Oryzias latipes: one gene and its partners. The protein of the gene in region 1 purifies or fractionates together with the protein of each later gene. This does not show direct contact. Links are inferred from orthologs where the notes say so. Each region holds a gene or a part of one and is shown on either strand. Other genes may lie near its edges. The genes, in order: smad7, acvr1b, E3 ubiquitin-protein ligase Itchy and usp15.

Region 1 (5,100 bases):
AAAGTTGCAGACCTCTGGCCTATAGTATTTAACAATATGGTGAATGAATATTAGAAAGCAATAATGGAGCCATCCAGTTTTGAGCCAGATGCCAGCTGAGGTAAGGAAAACAAAGACTTACATGGATCTATTTGTCTACAAGCATCAGAATGGAGCGAGCAGGGAGCTTGTGGCCCTCCCATCTGCTCCTGATTCACAACGATTTGAATAAAGAAAAACTCAGAAAACCATCTTTAATCTTAATTTCATTTATAAATGCCCTCCATTATGAGAAAAAAATGCCACAAGAACATGATAAAAAATACAATGGAATGGGTCTTTAAATGAGCAGCTAAATGTTCTGCGTCTGCAGACTTTGTCTTGAAGGGTAAATAAAAACACGGGTCTCAGCTCAGAGCACAGTTTTTATTGAAAACAGCCCCGCTCCACAGCCTGCAGACAGACTCTTCAGGCAGCCCGAGATGGCAAACGGTTAGATAAAAGTGTCTACTTCCTGGAGTCTGGAGACTGGTCTCATGCAAACAAAGGGAAGGGCATGCAGATTGGTGGATAGGGGAGGGGACAGCGCACGAGAGCAGCAGCAGGCACCTCCACAGAGCCCCCCTGACAGACCCCCTTTCCCCCACCCCACCCCTGACTGATTGCTTCCAGACTCCTCCAGGAACGCGCCGCAGTCCCTCTGCTCGGTTTGGGGCTGCAGTGGCGCGCTCCTCCTCGGCGCCAGTTGGGGATCCGGGGGAACAATACGGGGGGGATAAACGACTGATACCCCCCCCCCCCCCCACACACACACATACACACACACACCCCACCTCCTCCCCCATCTTTCTCCATCTCCTCCACGCATGCACACACACCCCTCCTCAACCCCACACATCTCTGCCACCATCATTATCTGCCGCCCACCCCCATGCCCTGCAGCAACTCTGTCATATTAACATACTGCTGACTGCATCTCCTCCCCGGGACTACTGTCTGTCGAGGGAAGTCTGCAGACCAGAAACGGTTCATTTCTGTTTAAAAGAACAATTTCTCCTAAAACGTGTTAAATTTATTGGGTTTGAAGTGAGACATCACAGTGAGTGTTCCCCATCAAGCTGTATTTGTACATTTTTGGCACCAACATTGAGCTAAATTCCAGACATATATAAGTCTGTTATAATTAATATGGATTCCATGAGGGCAATGACACAGAAGGAAGGCTGGCACATGTTAAAAAGACAAGAAAAGACAAATTTGATCCTCAGCTGATGGATTGATCTGCTGGATAAATAAAGATGGGTGGGAACTCTTTGTGTGTGTAGTACCGAACATGTCCGATGGGGGGCAGCAACGAGCTCCCCCGAAGGAGTCAGCACTGTGGCTCACTTCCTAAATTCAACTCCAGCCATAAACTCTCCAAAACAATAAAACTGCCCTGTGTGATCACCATGGCAACAGTGGCGAAAAGCTATGAAGATATATTAAACTGATTCATAGCTTTAACGATGAAACACGTATTTACTGCTTATTCAGTACAAGCGTGAAATTAATGATTGAATATATATATATATATATATATATATATATATATATATATATATATATATATATATATATATATATATATATATATATATATATATATATAAACATTATTTTAGGACTGAAAGCAAACCAAAAAATCTGCAGATTTACTAAATAATTTAACTGAGAAATTTTTTTAATGTTGTTCTTTTTTCTGCAAATATTAAACTTTTGTGGCGTAAACTTTCTCATTTGTGTTTTCTAAGTGCGCGCGCGCGCTTGTGTGTGTGTGTGCACCGTGGGCTCTACTTGATCTGTTGTTTGCGCAACACAATCACATTTCTTTTAAGCGACAGGGTGTCTAGACACACACGTGACCGGGCGCGTCAATGCGCACTGGAGACTGGAGACGGAGCAAGGGCACCCAAACCATCCGCCTCATTTACAGACAGAGAGCCCTTTAGCCCGGACCAGATCAGCTGTCTGCTCGCTTTCCTCCACGCTCAGCCACGGAAACTCCGTGAGAGATACGATTTTGGATTATTTTATCTGGAGGGATTGCTAAAAGCAGGCTCGCTGCGTGGACGCAAAAAAGAAAAAGAAAAACGGAGGGTCTTGCTGTGGCTTTACAAACGCGACTCAACTCCGGTGGGAGACCTGGATTTTTTTCTCCTTGGCTCACTATTTTACCAGAAGACCTCATCCACTACATACTAAAATATACATTTAAAGGTGGGGAGCCCCAGTTCGTGCGCTCGGATGAAGGATTTTGTGGATTATGCTACTCAAGACGCGGCGGAGAGCTTCGCTTTTTCATGGGATGATTGCGCCAGCGTTGAGGCTTAATTAGGCCTTAGGTTTTTCTTATAAGTACCAGTTAGTTGTGACTTGAATAAACATTTCTGACAGCGTTTTTCCCCCCGCTGTAAACCGTCACGGCGTTTTTTTAAAGGGGTCAGTTCACAGCGCCGGATTGCACAAAACTGTAACGCATTCGGGCTTCACGCAGCTCCGCTGCTGCAGGTTTCCTGCTCCGGTTTGGTGTTTCTAAGCTCATAGATGTGATCTTTTTTTTTTTTTGTATTCTGATCGTGGAAACGTTGGCTGTCCCGCCAACCTCGAGCGCTTTCTGGTGACCTTTCTGCAGGAAAAACAGCTTCAGAGACTGGCGCATGCTATAGATTTCCTCTGCTTCTCCAGCTCCCAGTTTTTCCACCGTTTTCTCTCAGGCTGCTTGTCATTGCCTGGACTCGGATCCCGGAATCTTCATGATTTGCGGACACCATGCTCGTTTTTTAGCCGGGAAACCCTCTTTTCGTCCCGCATGTTTAGGACCAAACGATCGGGGCTCGTCCGGCGACTCTGGAGGAGCCGTGCGCCCGTGGAGGGCGACGGGGAGACGGATAGAGGGACGCATGGCTCCGGGGGCTGCTGCATGGGCAAAGCGACAAAAGTGGCCAAGTCCAACGCGGGGTCGGAGGCCGAATTGAAGGCGTTGACCCACTCGGTACTGAAAAAGATCAAAGAAAAACAATTAGAGGTGCTTTTGCAGGCGGTGGAGTCCAAGGGGGGCGTCCGGAGCCCCTGCCTTCTCCTGCCCAGCAAAGTGGACGCCAAAGTGGGTCAACAGTCTTACTCCCTCCCCATGCTGCTCTACAAAGTGTTCAGGTGGCCGGACCTCAGGCATTCCTCGGAGCTGAAGAGGCTGTCGTGCTGTGAATCTTACGGGAAAGCCAACCCCGAGCTCGTTTGCTGCAACCCTCACCACATGAGCAGGCTCTGTGAACTCGGTGAGCTTCAATATTTTCACTAAAAAAAACTCCAAAAAAATGAGGTCCTAGGTGGAGAGAAGGCTGAAAAAGACTGTGCCAATTAACCTAATTCTAATGACAACACCTCTCTGGCACAGTGGTCTTCAGGTTCCATTGATCTGAAGCTGTGCCAGATCCTTTTAGCAGGTTTGGTGGTCGAGTTTGAATAGAAACCTACTTTAATTAATTGTTCCATTTGATTTTTTTTTTCCAAAACTCAAATCCTCCTCAGCTATACGCATTGTCGCGGTTTCAGATTTCCAAACACCCCTGTTAAGAATTTCAACATTTCATAATTGGCATCCAAAGTACAGAAAGACTCTCCAGTCTTGAAATGTGTGTGTTTATGTGTGTGTGTGCTTGCTTGGCGTCCCGGGCCAAAAGAGGCCCGTATCTCAGTTTGTCCTAGACGCTGATAGTGGCCCTTCTGGCGCCAGGCGGCCCCCTGTTTATCTGCCTGCCAATGAAAGGCAATAGCCGCCCGGCCAGCCTCACTGCCTGCTTCTCCAGGCGGAGCTGACAGGCACAAATCAGCCCTCCCCTGAAGAATGACAACTCTTATCAGAAAGTTCAGATCTCTCCTTTGTGTTTTTTTTCTTCCTCTTCTTTTCTCATGCAGTTTTTTTTCTTTCCCCCCCTCCTCCTCCACACAGAGTCTCCTCCTCCTCCTTATTCGCGATATCCCATGGACTATTTGAAACCACCAGGTGAGCTTGATGCATCATTTCACATGGATATTTCCTAAGTCATTGCTTTTTGTTTGTTTGTTTGTGCAATAATATGCATGTTTGAAGTGATGTCATGAGCTGCACTTCACGTTGGTGTCCTCTGCAGGAAATGGTGTTGTGATTTATGGGGAGTTGTGTGTGTGTGGGGGGGGGGCAGAGTGACACGCCTGGCTGGCTGGCCAATTCTAATGTGGCTAGCAGCCAGGGCAAGGCAATACGAAGTTGAGATACCAGCTATGGACTGACTGGCATGTCACCAGGGCTTGTGTGCATGTCTGAGTTGGGGGTGGGGTTGGGGGGGTGGTCTGTCCATCTATCTATTGTGAACCACAGTGCTGAGAGAGACAGACAACAGAGTCTGGAGCCAGTCAGCCTTTATCAGATGGAATGATCAGTAGATTAAGAGTGGGGTTTGCGGTGTGTGTTTGGGAGGGAGGGGGGTCTTTTCTCCACTCAAAGTGATTGCCCCCCCCCTCCACCACCACCACCACCCAACACTTGTTTTCTGACTTGACCCGGGCCCCCGTGTGGCAGCAGGCCACAGCATCGTCATGGGTTACATCCGCTTTGAAGACCAAACCCTCGTCTTTAATTATCTCTTATTTCTGATCATCTCAGCCTCCATGGGCGCAGAAACAGCCCGGAGTTAAACAGCCAACTGTCAGCCAGCCAGTTAGTCAGAAGAAGGAGAAAGTGGCTTTCAGTGAGTGGAAACAATAGGAAGTAATTGCAGCTGCAGCTGCGGTTCTTCATAGCCCCCCTCCTTCCTCTTCGCTCTCTCTTTGTCGTCTTTTACCATGCTCTGGTAATATTCTATGCTGACAAGCAGCTCCCCAAGCCCAAAGAGACGCTGCTACCCCCAAAAAGGTCTCTGCCGGTTCCCTGGGACTTGTCACGAGAGAGCCTCTGCAAGAATTTGCTTGGAAAGTTTCCAGCGATAAAAGGAAACAAGAAGGTAAATAGGAAATGCGAGCGGGATGCAGAAAAGGAAGTGATTACACAACTCTTGGTTCCACCCTGTTTCCCTTGTCCTAGCAGTCTCGAGTGTGTCCATG
Region 2 (5,021 bases), on another chromosome or scaffold:
GACAAGACGTGGAAAAAATACTTAACATATCTATATTTGCAAGGGTTTTTATTTATAATTTTACATTGTATATTTTAATCTTTTTTATGATTTCTAATGGTTTGCAATGATGTCAGAGAAGAAACAGTAATTTTATTTTTCAGAAAAGGAAAAAAGGGCATTAGAAATGTATTTTTTATTCTTTTTTAAGTAATTGAGAACTTCTTGTCATTTCTTAAAATTTATGGTTTAACATTCATGAAGTTTCTGAAGAAGAAGGCGTCATTTGTGACGTCAAACTTCCTCACGCATTTGCAAAATACACCACCACAAAGGTTTACTCATTTGTTGAATCATCTGTACGGTCGTCTGCATTTTAACCGTACATTTAAGGCACTATTGGGTCAAGTTGCAATTAAAATAAAAAAACTAATGGACTTTTTGAGACTCCATATTTTATGTTGCACTAAAAAATGCATCTTCTCAGGAAACAAGGTCAAACAACAAACATTAGTTTTTACATCAAACATGTTTTGGTTTTTTTAAGCTCCAAAAAGTGCAAGAAAGAGCTTTTTTGGGCCCCTGTGCACAAGTACGTCTACAACCATTCTTTGTCTCGTTAAAAGTTAAAATGGATTGCAAATCATGAGCATGTTATAAAAAATGCCAAGAAATCCTGTAGGGACTGGAACATCAATAATTCATATCATAATTTGCAGTTGCTGATACAATTCATAGACAATATTGGTTTATTTTGAACGATCCGATACACTGACCTAAGATCTATCCAGGATATCTTTAGCCAAAATTTCAACCAGTGTGACTGAGAGATAAATACATGGATACTGAACAGTGCAGGTGAAGTTTTCCAGATTCCTTATATTTCTTGAAAGATAATCAAGTGTAAACTAAATATGTGTATAAACAAACAATTAAACAAGAATGAATGGTAAATCCATTCACATTTTAGTTTTACAAAGTTCATCCCTCTGTTGTTTTTCCACATCAAAATAATACATTATTAGAACATTCTACCACACTGTATGGTCACGTCATTGCAGAATTTAAAGTGTTTCCAACATTGGACTGTAATGACGGCTTGATCCTTTTTTTGCCGTCAACTGTGTTGTGTTGTCCGCTGTGATGAAACTTGGTCATTTTCAAGTTACAGTAAAGAAAACCTACCATGCCTCAATCCAAAAGGTATTTTCCATTATCCATGTAATTGAGTCATTTCATTTGAAAAAACATTTTGTAATGGTATAGATCGATTTGAATAACAAATTGCCTCAGACAGATTGGTCTGAGTGGATCGTAGGACTATAAATCGATTCTCCTACAGAGGTTAAAATGACAACACCCACCTCACAACAAAAAGACAGACAGTTTTCATGTCCTCTATAGACTTGCTCCTTTGAACATTTACATTTTAGGCAGTGAGTCTGTGCAATACACAAGACACTAGTAATGTAATGAATAAAATATGTTTGGAATAAATATCAGTAATGCCTCTGTCACCACAAAAAGTACTTTTGTAATGTGTTCATTGTTAAATGATTTGTTACACATAAAGAGTATAGATGTGCTGTGTTGGGCGGAGCTTCGCTGTGTTTAATGTAAACGGAAGTGTTGAGGAATTGTCTACTTTTTGTGATCAAGGCTGAAAGGAGAGCTGTTATTCATCCTGAACCTTTGGTGTTCTCCTCCTCACAGCCGTGTCCTCGCTGTCAGTGGGGGACGTGCTGCACGCAGCCCTCACCCTTTAAACTTCCTCACCCCTCCCTCTAGCGCGTCACCGGCTGGCTGGCTAGTATCTGGCGGTGTGGTGTGTGCGGTCGGACTGTGGTTGTGTTTCAGGTCTCGCCGCCTTGATAACGACATATTTCGGGCGCATTTCACCGCGTTGCGATGGGAATTCTGAAAACATGGCTCTAATACGATTGGCTGTAACGCTGCTCGCCCTGCTCGGGTCGGCGGCCGTCGGCGACGGTAAGTTTGATCCCAGCATCTCCCTGGCTTTTGTCTGTCTCGGTGTGTTTTCCTGGAGTGGGCATCGCCTGTTGTCGCTAATCGTCATGGCGCTCTGGATCGGCTTGTTGGCTAGCCCTATGGCTAGCGCCGACCTCAAAACCACGGCAAGTGTTTGGTCTGACCAAAATAAAAATGCGTGTTTTTGTGTGTTGGAATTTGTGGTGACCAAAAAAAAAAGAGGGATGAATCGCCGGTAAAGACGGAGCTAACCACAACAACAATGGTGGAGCTGCTGTGTGTTTCGAGGCGGCTGCTAACGTTTGCTAGCCAACTGTGTCTGAACTGAACAATGTTTATAAAAGTGCCGACGTTTATCAGATAAATAACCATATAAATTGTGTGTTTATATTTTTTTAAATAACATTTAAATTTTGTTTAATTCTCAGCATAGCGTTGAAGTTAAATGTTATCTCTCATAAGCTGATATTCGGTTTTTATTTACAAAACAAGCTTCTTGGTGGCTCGTGCCTGCTTATCATTGTATTGACTGGAACTCAGTGCTGTGATAGCTCGCTATAAATATTTATCATGTTTTTATTCACGTGTTTGTGAGCTCTGGTGGTTAAAGGCGCACAGAGAGGAGGCTGTGAATGGAGGTCGGCATGTATTTGGCGCTCGTAAGCTGTTTTTCATGGGTAAACACAGCCATTTGTCGTCGCCCCCCACCCCACATGCATGCAGTGAAAAGCTTGCGTAGTGGCCTCTCGGCAGAGCGCGAATGCTGGCATGGGGAGGGGGGTTGACAGCAGCCGCTCTTTCAGCCGACCCAGACACAAGTCAAAGTTGAAGTCTGGGTTCATTGTCATGGAAATTGTTCGGTGTGGTCTTTTCAGGCGCCAGTTGTGTGTCTGCGATTCCCCTGACCTGCAGGAACAGCTGATGCCTAACCTCTTGTATGACCACATGCACCCTTGCATGACCACATGCATGTTTATGTGATTTCACCTCGTTTTGATTTACGGACAGTTTGTACGGTGGCCCTTGCAGCAGTTTTCTCATGATGGATCACATAGATAGATAAAGAAAATTAAGCATATGATTGCATTTCTGAGCACTTCTTTATTCAGATCAAAGTGAATCCGGAGCAGACGAAAAAATGTAGTTAGAAAAACCCTGTAAAGACCCGTACACACCGGGACGAATATTCGCCAGGCGTTATTCGCCGCGTTTTTTGTGTTCACACCCAGGCGATTTTCGCTGACGATGAGCCGAGCGAACATGCAATTTCATTCCCTGACATTAGATGGCGCTTAATGTAAACAGAAATACTCCTGTACACAAGGTGGCGCTGCGCAACTTTACGCTTCTTAAAGTCGCTTTTCACTCAGAAGAAGAGAGCAAGTATTTACGCGCTTGTCAGAATAATACAAAAAAAACATGAATATTTCAAGCACCAGTAGCTCCAACTGGTGCTTGGTTCGGGGATATTTTAGAATATCCGTCATTATTTCTTCACGGCATATAGACGCTACTTGGCGTCTATCTTCTTCGCTGGTATGTGTGCTCAGCAAGGCAGTTTTTGTGTTTAAGCGCCCCCAAGATGTGTTTTACTGTAACTTCAGAAGCTCCAGACACGTGTGCAAAAGCGACATTCTCATTGGTGGAATAGATTTCGACGCGAGGCATCAAAAAAAAACGAACCCGAGGCGTTGTTTTTTTTTTTTTGACGCGTTGCGTTTTTTCGCATCGGTGTGCACACTCACATTGGTGCCCTTTGTTTAGTCACGAGGCGTTAAAAGTCGGCGAAAATAGCCGGCGAAATTCGTCCCGGTGTGAACAGGCCTTAACAGTGACGTAGGTGCTATGTCTTCGGGACAACAGATCCCTGCTCTGCTCCATGCCTATGTATCCAATTGCAGACAAAGAGATTCATGTACGTCTTCACTTTCCTTGGCGGAGCTGGCATCAAAACTGTACTGTTGGATAGCTCCAGTATTGCTTACTGTTTTTGTTGCAACTGTAATGTTTAGTTGGAGTTGTGAGAAGCTGTAAGCTAGCAGGAGAGCATGTAAACAAAGGGATGATGGCCGGGCTTACTCCACCTTAACAATCCTTGAAAATGACACAGGTTTATGGATTTAACCTAAAAACAGCACGATCATTATTAAGACCACTGGGAATGCTTTTAATATAGACCAAAAGTAGATCCTGGTGGGCCTTTAAAGATCACGTCAATTAAAAAGGCGAAACTAAAACACAATTAAAAAAGACAGGTTTGGGAAAACAAAAGTGATTTGTAAATATCAAAATGAAATGTTAAAAAGCGAAACAACAAAGTTGGAAAAGGTAGGTACTGTGGGACATCATTGAATGGACGATGACGTTAGAGTTTATTTTGTAATGCGTCTTTAATGTCCACATACCTATACAAGTTTGATGATTAGTATGGAGCATAGTCAGTGTCGCTTCATGCCAAATATTTTTTGATTGATATAATTGACAAATGTCATCATCTAGCTAGTGATGTCCCATAGTAACTACCTTTTCTGGTTTCTTCCTGTATTTTGTTTTTTTAGCATTTCATTTTATTTTTTAAATTATTTTTGTGTTCCAAATTGTACCGTTATTATTATTTTTAAATTTTGTTAAGATTTCTATAATGTAATGTTGTTTTTGTTTAAAATGTTTTGACTTTGAGTGATTTGTTGGTGTGATTTGCATGTTGGGGCTCCTGTGGGTTGGAAACGGGGAGTGTGGTGGAGGCTATAGAAACCCCGGTCTGCTAATATTGTCATCTCAATTTGTTGACTTGCTTCAACTTGCCTCAGATAGACTTGCTTTAAAAAACCTCAACTGTCAAGTGTAGATGGAGAGTGTTTGTCAGATCATGCATTTTGTTTTCATAGTTGAGCCATTGTTGAAGAAGCAATAAAAAAATACTCTTAGCTTTGAAAAAACAAAAAAAAAAGGGTGCAGTTCCTGAATGCAGTAGTGTTAGACCTACTGATAAAAATGGTCACACTTGCATGACTTGTTTATTTGACTTCCAACTTTTAAGAGTGATATGTGAG
Region 3 (3,740 bases), on another chromosome or scaffold:
TTCATTGCCATGGTTCGCAGTCACGACCGCCATGAGAAGAAATGTGTTACTGCTGTGGCCGCAGAGGCTTTCTTGTTCTAATCGAATGTCGTTTGAATCCCTCAGGCTCTCTTTCACGGGAAGTTCATCAATACGGGTTTCTCGCTGCCTTTTTACAAGCGCATTCTCAACAAGCCTTTGGCGGTCAAAGATCTGGAGTCGATTGATCCGGAGTTCTACAACTCTCTCATGTGGATTAAGTACGTAAAAACTGCCACTTTTTTATAAAGTCTTCAGTAACAAAATCATTTCTGTATTAGAGATCCTGTCATTTTTTAAATCTTTTTTTAGCTGCTTAGTGATGCCAACATTTACCAGGTTAAAACCAGATGCTTTTGTTCAGATGAGCTGGTTCTTTAGGATCTTTTACAATCTGCTTATGAAACTTTGAGATCATTCAGAGACCCCGTAATGGTACTAACTAAAATGATGGAAACCTGGAGGAGGAGGCGGCAGTCATCACTCGTTCAAGCTACGTAGTTGTCACCGCTTTAAGCAAATATAAGGCCATCAACATGGGTCTTTCTAGCATGGGCTAAAATTACATTCAATCTTTCTTTTTTCGTGAGCAATTAAGGATTAAAATATGAAAAAGTATTTATTTTCAAAAAACAAAATCTTGCCAAAGATATAATTCCCTGCCTTACTTAGACATACAAATACTCAGAGAAAAGAGATTTGATGGGACAAAGCTAAGTGCGAGTTTTTTCCATTTATTCACTCTCTTGCCAATTAAGAAAACATCAAACATCGTGATTACGGACAAGTTTTTAGCTCCAATATTAACAAAACAGACACACAGAAAAAAACATTCATCCCCGCAGTTGACAGGATTAGAAACCAAAGAAATACAGGATGCTTCTTATAAAGCGGTTTATGTTTACATTTAGTAAATACCAGTTTAAGTGACAGTTAAAGGAAAATCTATGTGACATTTTAATGTTTCCTTTGAGAAGCTGCAGATATTTTACAGAGAATGAAGATAAACTTTACCCCTGGAAGTGAAGGGAAACTGGAGACTGAAAACAAAAATCAGACGCCCACTTCAGCCTCATACAGGCCGGTCCATTGAAATATTGTAAAATAAATAAAACCTGAAAAAGGTTGGGGACCACTGATTTACAGGATCTGGCTTTTTCACCTGGGAATCAAAGGGAAATCAGCCGCCAGTGGTCGTTTGAGGAACTGCAACACTTTAAGGTTCTAGGTCAGAGGTGGCCATCCCTGGTCTTCCTAACCCTGGAGGTCAAAGGGGTTTTCTTGGTTCTAGAGCTGTAAATTTCTCTTTGGTGTTTAGGGACAACAACATCGAGGAGTGCTGCTTAGAGATGTTCTTCTCTGTGGACAAAGAGATTCTTGGAGAAATCACCACCCATGAGCTCAAGCCAGGAGGAGGAGACATCCAAGTCACAGAGGAGAACAAAGAGGAGTACATCCGGTGAGTTTTTCCCCCTTTAGGACTTGAACATTTATTTTTAGTCATTTTTTTCTGAGTTTCTGCTGTTTGAATAATAAATAAAAGCAGACATTTCAGTGTTTGCTTGTTTGGAAATCCTCCTCCAGGCTGGTAGCAGAGTGGCGACTGTCCAGAGGTGTGGAGGAGCAAACACAAGCTTTTTTTGAGGGCTTCAACGAGGTCCTCCCTCAGCAGTATCTACAGTACTTTGATGCCAAAGAACTTGAGGTGTGATTGCTGCTCAGGAACGATCAGTACGTCAGAAAGCAGTTTGGTGAGTCACTTTTAATTTGCTGCTTTCCCTCCACAGGTGATGCTGTGTGGCATGCAGGACATCGACCTTGCAGACTGGCAGAGAAACACCATCTACAGGCACTACGCTCGGAACAGCAAACAGATCCTCTGGTTCTGGCAGGTCGGTGTCAAACCCTTTCGGGAGGATGAGGTTTGCTCTTCCTCTGTGTGGATTTACAAGGTTTTCCCCCTGCAGCTTGTGAAGGAGATGGACAACGAGAAGAGGATGAGACTGCTGCAGTTTGTCACCGGCACCTGTCGTCTGCCCGTCGGAGGCTTCGCCGACCTTATGGGTAAAAAAAACAGCAACACATTTTTGGGGTTTGCTGCCAAAACATGGTGAAATTGAATAGTCTGAGCTGAGTCACTGCTTCTTCTAACAGGAAGCAACGGGCCTCAGAAGTTTTGCATTGAGAAGGTGGGAAAAGAAAACTGGTTGCCCCGGAGTCACACATGGTGAGTTCCTGCTCACAGCAGCCAAACAGACAATACTGTAAAGCAGTGGTGGGCCGTCAGGGCCTTCAAGACCTTCTCTAAAAAATGTCTGAATCACATGTTAATTATATTTTGTCCATGCATACTCATTAAATCATTCCAAATGGTCTGTCCATTCTATTTTATTCTGTTTATGATGGTTACGCTGCTTGCAGACAGAGGTTGGAGCATTTAACCAATCGCATTTCAGCTGTTCTTTGTTGCCAGGCAGAGTCAGAGCTAAAGAGGCCTTCAATGTGAGTTCTGCAGGCCTTTCAATGCAAAATCAATGTTGGTCATCCATTTCCTTCAACCAGTCAGATTCTGAGTTGGCGTCTGCAGGGCCTTCTAGCTGGCTTAGGCAGTGTCACAGTATTCAGACCTTCTGATTGGACAGAAGTTTGATGAAGTCACACACAGCCATGTCCAGTTTGACACAGAGCCACGGAGAACTTTTTGATCCGTCTCTGTTAAAACAGAGCTGACTGTAATGTATCCATGGAGGATTTAACAGGAAAATCTCACACTGATCTCCTAGACTCCCTTCATCAGAAAAATCTGAGTGAATCATGAAGCAGCTGAACAGATTTGTGTGTTTGGCGCCGACCATCCCTGTGTAATATTCCATATTTTTGTGGTTCTTTTCAATGCTTTTTGCTGGCTGTAGTGGCATAACGACATTTGTTTACAGTTTAGTTTATTCCGTTTATTTAGAGGCATTTCTTGTGGCTACAGGAGTTTTCAATATGTAATGCAAACCTCGTTTCTGCATCGTAAAAGGGTTCATGAGCGGTTGAGGGATTCAGACGCAGCACTACTGAAGGCCCGGGTGTGCAATGCACGGTCTGCCACTGCTGTGAAGGGAAAGAAAGAGATTCCAGGTTTTAATGATCAGCTTTTATATTCGGTCTTTTAGAGGAAACGCTTTTTATTTTTTTTGCAGTAATGCATTGTAGAGAAAATGTGCAGATGTACAGTCAACTCTTTTCAGCGATGAGGCTGAAAACATTTGTCAAAGGAGAGCCTGCAGGTGTGAATTTGATGCATGAATTGCATTTGGAGCTCTTGCAATCCTTCAGAGTTTGACTGCAAACTGCAAAAACAATAAATCACACTAGCAATATTGAGACAAGACTTGGCTGGTACAAAAAGGAATTTAATTAAGACCTTGAAATGGAGGAGTCGATGAACTCCGCATGACCTCAGATCACAACCTGGTTTGTCAGAAGTTGACATTTTCCCCCTACAGCCAAATAAAACCGGTCCCAAGAACTCATTTATGTTGTTTCCTCAGCTTCAACAGACTGGACCTGCCGCCCTACAAGAGCTACGAGCAGCTGAAGGAGAAGGTGATGTTCGCCATCGAGGAGACGGAAGGCTTCGGCCAGGAGTGAAGGACGCTTAAGGCTTGGCCGCAGGAGTCTGCAAAGACAAACGCAGCACCGTTCGCATCAGGGAGCCTCTTCAGAAAGAGCCG
Region 4 (4,454 bases), on another chromosome or scaffold:
ATTTACAAATAGTAAAAAAATGCATGTAAATCAACACAACGCAGGTTTTGTGAGCTGCTGCTGGCGTGAGCTTCTCACAGAGAGCTGCTGGGATTTTGTCGTCACACCGCGCTCGGAAACTCGCTTACATGTGCGTTTCAAGCTTCTGCGTTACGACCCTTTTGGGGCTGTACATACAATACGCAGCTATTGGACGCACGTTACCAGCTAATCCAGGTCAAACTTTGACCAATCAGCGACTCAAATTTGATAGAAACTGGCCGAATTCCGCAGTTTCATCTGGTCAGCTCAGACACGGAGACGAGCCTGACGACGTCTGCGTCTGTTTTTCAAATAAACTCTCCTGATTTATTCATAACCTAATCCACCATTGCCAGGGCGCCGTAGATGAACCGAACAGTTTTCCGTGTCGCACCCAACATGCAATGATTTGCACCGCTTTGATATTTTGCACCATCCTCTTCCAACTGTAGGTGGCGGACATGTGCTAGTAAAGAGTTAAAAAAAAGAGGAAGAAGCCCCTCCCTGCTTGTCCAGTGTAAACACTTTGGGCTAAACGAGCGTTCAAGAATGCACGTTAAATGCCAGATGTGTACGGAGCTAAACAGATTTTGGAGCGTGGGATTTGTTGCTCCAAGTCTAGGGGGGCAAAGCCAAACTAGAAAAGTTTCCTCCTTCAGGAACAAGCTCCTCTTTGCTAGTTTCCATTTGAACGTCTGCACGTTGCGAGATGCGGACAGGCTGACCGTAGTCCGAACAATGGAAGCCCAGGAATCCAAAGATGAATTCTAATTAATTCATGATTTGTATTGTTTTTTGGAGGTAGATTGTAAATGGGCGTGGCTCCGGCATGCAGCTCCACCTCAACCTCAGCGTCCTCTGGGACGCCGGCTCACTCGTCTGTCTTTTCCTGGAAGCGTTTGCTTCCTGTCAGTCGGCCGTGTGACGGACGGCGCTGCTTGGCTGTCGTAGAAGCCGTTCCACTTCACTCTTCCTTCCAACCTGTGTGTGTGCTTGGGTTTTAGTGCACGTTTGTGCGCCTGTGTGTGTGACATCGACTCGTTTCTGCGCACACAACTAGAATGCAGAAAGAAAATCTGTAGAAATCCACGAGTGAACTTCCTGTTCTGTCAGTTTTCTCCTAAGGAATAACCCAGTTCTCCTGAAATGTGTTTATTTTGGAGTCGTGTAGTTGTTTAAAAAAAAAAAAAAAAGCGTAACAAGAGGGGGTTATGGGTAAAATGAGCAACTCTTCCTTCATTCATTAATGGCAGTGCTATTAATTATGCATGGGGGCTGGTTTTCTCCTTCTCTCCTGCTTTGCTCCCTCCTTCATTGGAAGCGTTCCCGTATTGGATAACCGATTTTAGCCGAAGCAGCGATGCTCCCATGATTCTCAGCTCTTTTTCTCCTTCCTCCACTCTCCCCTTTATGTCCTACCCCCCCCTTACCCCGAGCTTATTGCACCCGTTCTGCGGTCCTGAGTGACCTTCAGGGCTCATTTCATCCACCGAATCGTTCAGGGAATCCGTGATTTTCAGGTTTTGATATGTGAGGGGCTGAAGGCGTCAGGAGAGCGAGGATTTTTTAAAAATTATTATTTTACATTTGTTCTGTAAGGGCGTGGTGAGAAAGCGTCAGGACACTTGTGCAAGAAAATGACTTTGAGGGAGAGCGCCGAGTCAGACGGGTGAATACTGCAGCCTCAGCTGGATGCAGGCTGCTCCCCCCCTCCTTCTCTGTGCGCACCTCCAGTCTTGAGCATCCTCATCGCTGCTATAAATATCCGCAGGCTTGAGTGGAAAGCAGCAGACGGGCCGCAGGGAGGAGCAGAGGACAGAGGGAGGGGATTTGGCGAGGAGACGGCAAGCTCACAACAATTACCGAGGGGAGGACATCCAGAAGTTTTTTTTTTTTATATATATAGAGATTTTTTGGACTTCAAAAGGCCTCCATGACATCCATCCCGGTTAGATTCCCGCTGGAGCCGCGCCCTTACATGCGCCTCCCGCTCAGCCCGGGCCGCTGACATGCGGGCCGGTGTGGGCCGGGCCCGGGGCGGAGCTGGGATGTCATGCTCCTCTGCTGCTGGTGGTGCCTGCGGCCTGAGGCGGTGGAGCTGGACTCCCGGAGGGTGGAGCACCACGTGCTGAGCTGCGAGGCGCCCGCCTCCACCATCGCGGCCGTGTCCTTCGAGCGCTGGGACGCGCAGGCGGGCGGCGGCGCTCTGCCTCAGAGGTCCGCTACTTGCTGCAGGTGGAAAGAGCCCCCAGATTCTTTCCGGAAAACTCAGTTTGTTTTTTTGTCTGGGGAGGGGTCTGCTGTTGGTTTAGTCCTAAAGGCTATCAAATGTTTGTCCTGAAGTCAGTGTTTGTAGATGCTACATTAAAAATTCAGTCTAATGCGATGCTTTTTCTGCATTTGTGGTGCAGTGTGAAGAATTCCAGCTACAGTCTGCCGTCCTACCACCCCTACACCAACAGCTACGACTACTCCGACCAGAGCAGACCCAGCGAGCGCTCAGGACTCTGTGGATTATCCAACTTAGGGAACACCTGCTTTATGAACTCTGCTGTGCAGGTGCGGTCTGGAGAACCTTCCTCAAGTCTCCTTTGTAGTTTAGAAGTGAGATGGTCGCTAATTTTGTGTGTTTTCTGCTTCTGAACGTCAGTGTTTAAGCAACACTCCTCCGCTGACGGACTACTTCCTCAAAGACAAGTACACAGACGAGTTGAATGAGGACAACCCGCTGGGAATGAAGGGGGAGATCGCCCGAGTCTACGCCGAACTCATCAAACAGCTGTGGTCGGGCAAGTACAGCTACGTCACCCCGAGACCCTTTAAGGTGATCACCAGAACCTTCTCTCCTTGTAGGGGTTAGACGACCTTTTTCAGCTTGTGGTTTAGTCATTGACTGTATATGAAAAATGAACTCCCACTCTCATGCTCCAAACAGGAAGTACCTGCTGACTCCAAAAAGCCAAAATCCTGTAGACTTCTATAAAGAAATAAACAGCTATAATGCTACGAACACGTGTGACGCGCGTTCAAGAGTGTGCGTTCTTGAACCCGTGTTTAGCCCCATGGTGTTCACACCGGAAAGGCAGGGAGGGGCATTTTTTTCTTTTTATTTTTTGACTGTTTACTGGCGCATGTCCACCACCTACAGTTGAACGAGGCTTTGTGTGAAAAGGCGTAGCGGCATAAATCTCGTGAATCTTGCTCCAGGCTTTTTCCATCACAGCTTTGTTCTTGGATATGAAAGACTTGCCGTCATAGACTTCACACCGGACACAAAACGCTGTTATTCATTTCTCCTCTATGATCAATTTTTAAACAGCTGACACTTCTGTGCATTAAAGAGGACGCCATCCATACGTCAATAGCAAATCTGAGTCCCTGATTGGTCACAGTTGGTCCTGGTTTAACCTTTGAATGCGTGTTCAATGGCTGCGTGTTTCGTACATAGTGGTGGAAAAACTGCATAGTGACCGGTGAATGCCAGACTTTTGAACACGGAAGTCCAAAATGCACGAACATAGGCTTTCAAATGCAAGTGGTCACTTGAGCGCATGTTGCGGAGAGCGATGTAATAGTAGCTTCACTCTTTTATATTTTTTAGAAGAATCCTCCTTGCTCTGCTACTTTTGTTTGTTTTTTTAAACACGTCCCTAATATTTTTTTCCCTTTACTGCGAGTCAAAAACTAAAAAAAAAAAAAAAGATGCCTAAATAACATTTGATTGACAGTCTGTGAAACCCCCTTTCAACAAGCTCACTTCTGATTGATGACGGTGGTTGCCATAGAAACGTCTTGACTTAAACCAATTTGGACCAATCAGTGCTCACTGAAAATTTCTGGCTCCAACTTGGCGACATCTGTATCGCGACTGACAATTGATTTTATGTGGTTGAAGCTGGAACTCAGTGGGTTTAATGTTAGATTAGGGCTGGGCGGTTAATTTGTTGGTCCAGACGATTTACTTTTGAGAGGCAAAGAGGAGCTACTTCCGCGAGACTGAGGAAAATAAATAAACACTAGCGCACACGCCGCATGAATCACTCCGTAACCTCCGCTAATCATCTCCGTGTAGCTTTAGTTTACGCTAAGCGGAACATGTGACCATTTTTACAGAACCCAGACAGAATTGGAGGATAGACCTGTTGGACTAACAGTAGCAACAGAACGTTTAATAAAAAGCGGTGTCGTTACACTGACACGACGATGCTATCACGCTAAGATGCTATCACGCTAAACGCTATGCTAACGGGCTGTTCCTTGTGTCGTCTACATTTGATCACGGACCGGTTTAAAGTCAAAATATGTTTTCAGGAAACGAACAAAATTAATTCATAGAACATTTATGAAAACTGTATGTTATGGATTTATATTGTTATGAGTAAGAGGCAAGAATCCAAAACAAGATCATGTTTTTATTATGATTTCATGTCAAA

Evidence for each region.
Region 2: the proteins of smad7 (region 1) and acvr1b purify together in Homo sapiens (affinity purification with western blotting; 3 studies listed by BioGRID and IntAct, with this or other methods). This does not show direct contact. The link is inferred for Oryzias latipes from reciprocal best matches to the Homo sapiens genes SMAD7 and ACVR1B.
Region 3: the proteins of smad7 (region 1) and E3 ubiquitin-protein ligase Itchy purify together in Homo sapiens (affinity purification with western blotting; 4 studies listed by BioGRID and IntAct, with this or other methods). This does not show direct contact. The link is inferred for Oryzias latipes from reciprocal best matches to the Homo sapiens genes SMAD7 and ITCH.
Region 4: the proteins of smad7 (region 1) and usp15 purify together in Homo sapiens (affinity purification with western blotting; 3 studies listed by BioGRID). This does not show direct contact. The link is inferred for Oryzias latipes from reciprocal best matches to the Homo sapiens genes SMAD7 and USP15.

What each region holds. Positions count from the first base shown.
Region 1 is NC_019870.2:9,759,472-9,764,571, reverse strand, and holds the start of smad7 (mothers against decapentaplegic homolog 7), read left to right. Parts: upstream 1-1,878; 5' UTR 1,879-2,830; coding exon 2,831-3,296; intron 3,297-3,970; coding exon 3,971-4,024; intron 4,025-5,100. UniProt on the Homo sapiens protein: Antagonist of signaling by TGF-beta (transforming growth factor) type 1 receptor superfamily members; has been shown to inhibit TGF-beta (Transforming growth factor) and activin signaling by associating with their receptors thus preventing SMAD2 access.
Region 2 is NC_019865.2:12,257,748-12,262,768, forward strand, and holds the start of acvr1b (activin receptor type-1B), read left to right. Parts: upstream 1-1,695; 5' UTR 1,696-1,904; coding exon 1,905-1,968; intron 1,969-5,021. UniProt on the Homo sapiens protein: Transmembrane serine/threonine kinase activin type-1 receptor forming an activin receptor complex with activin receptor type-2 (ACVR2A or ACVR2B).
Region 3 is NC_019865.2:2,013,301-2,017,040, reverse strand, and holds part of E3 ubiquitin-protein ligase Itchy, read left to right. Parts: coding exon 1-12; intron 13-105; coding exon 106-239; intron 240-1,336; coding exon 1,337-1,477; intron 1,478-1,602; coding exon 1,603-1,723; intron 1,724-1,805; coding exon 1,806-1,910; intron 1,911-1,985; coding exon 1,986-2,082; intron 2,083-2,172; coding exon 2,173-2,245; intron 2,246-3,557; coding exon 3,558-3,657; 3' UTR 3,658-3,740. UniProt on the Homo sapiens protein: Acts as an Acts as an E3 ubiquitin-protein ligase which accepts ubiquitin from an E2 ubiquitin-conjugating enzyme in the form of a thioester and then directly transfers the ubiquitin to targeted substrates.
Region 4 is NC_019881.2:6,926,049-6,930,502, forward strand, and holds part of usp15 (ubiquitin carboxyl-terminal hydrolase 15), read left to right. Parts: exon of another isoform or gene 1-2,074; coding exon of another isoform or gene 2,075-2,256; intron 2,257-2,432; coding exon 2,433-2,580; intron 2,581-2,671; coding exon 2,672-2,845; intron 2,846-4,454. UniProt on the Homo sapiens protein: Hydrolase that removes conjugated ubiquitin from target proteins and regulates various pathways such as the TGF-beta receptor signaling, NF-kappa-B and RNF41/NRDP1-PRKN pathways.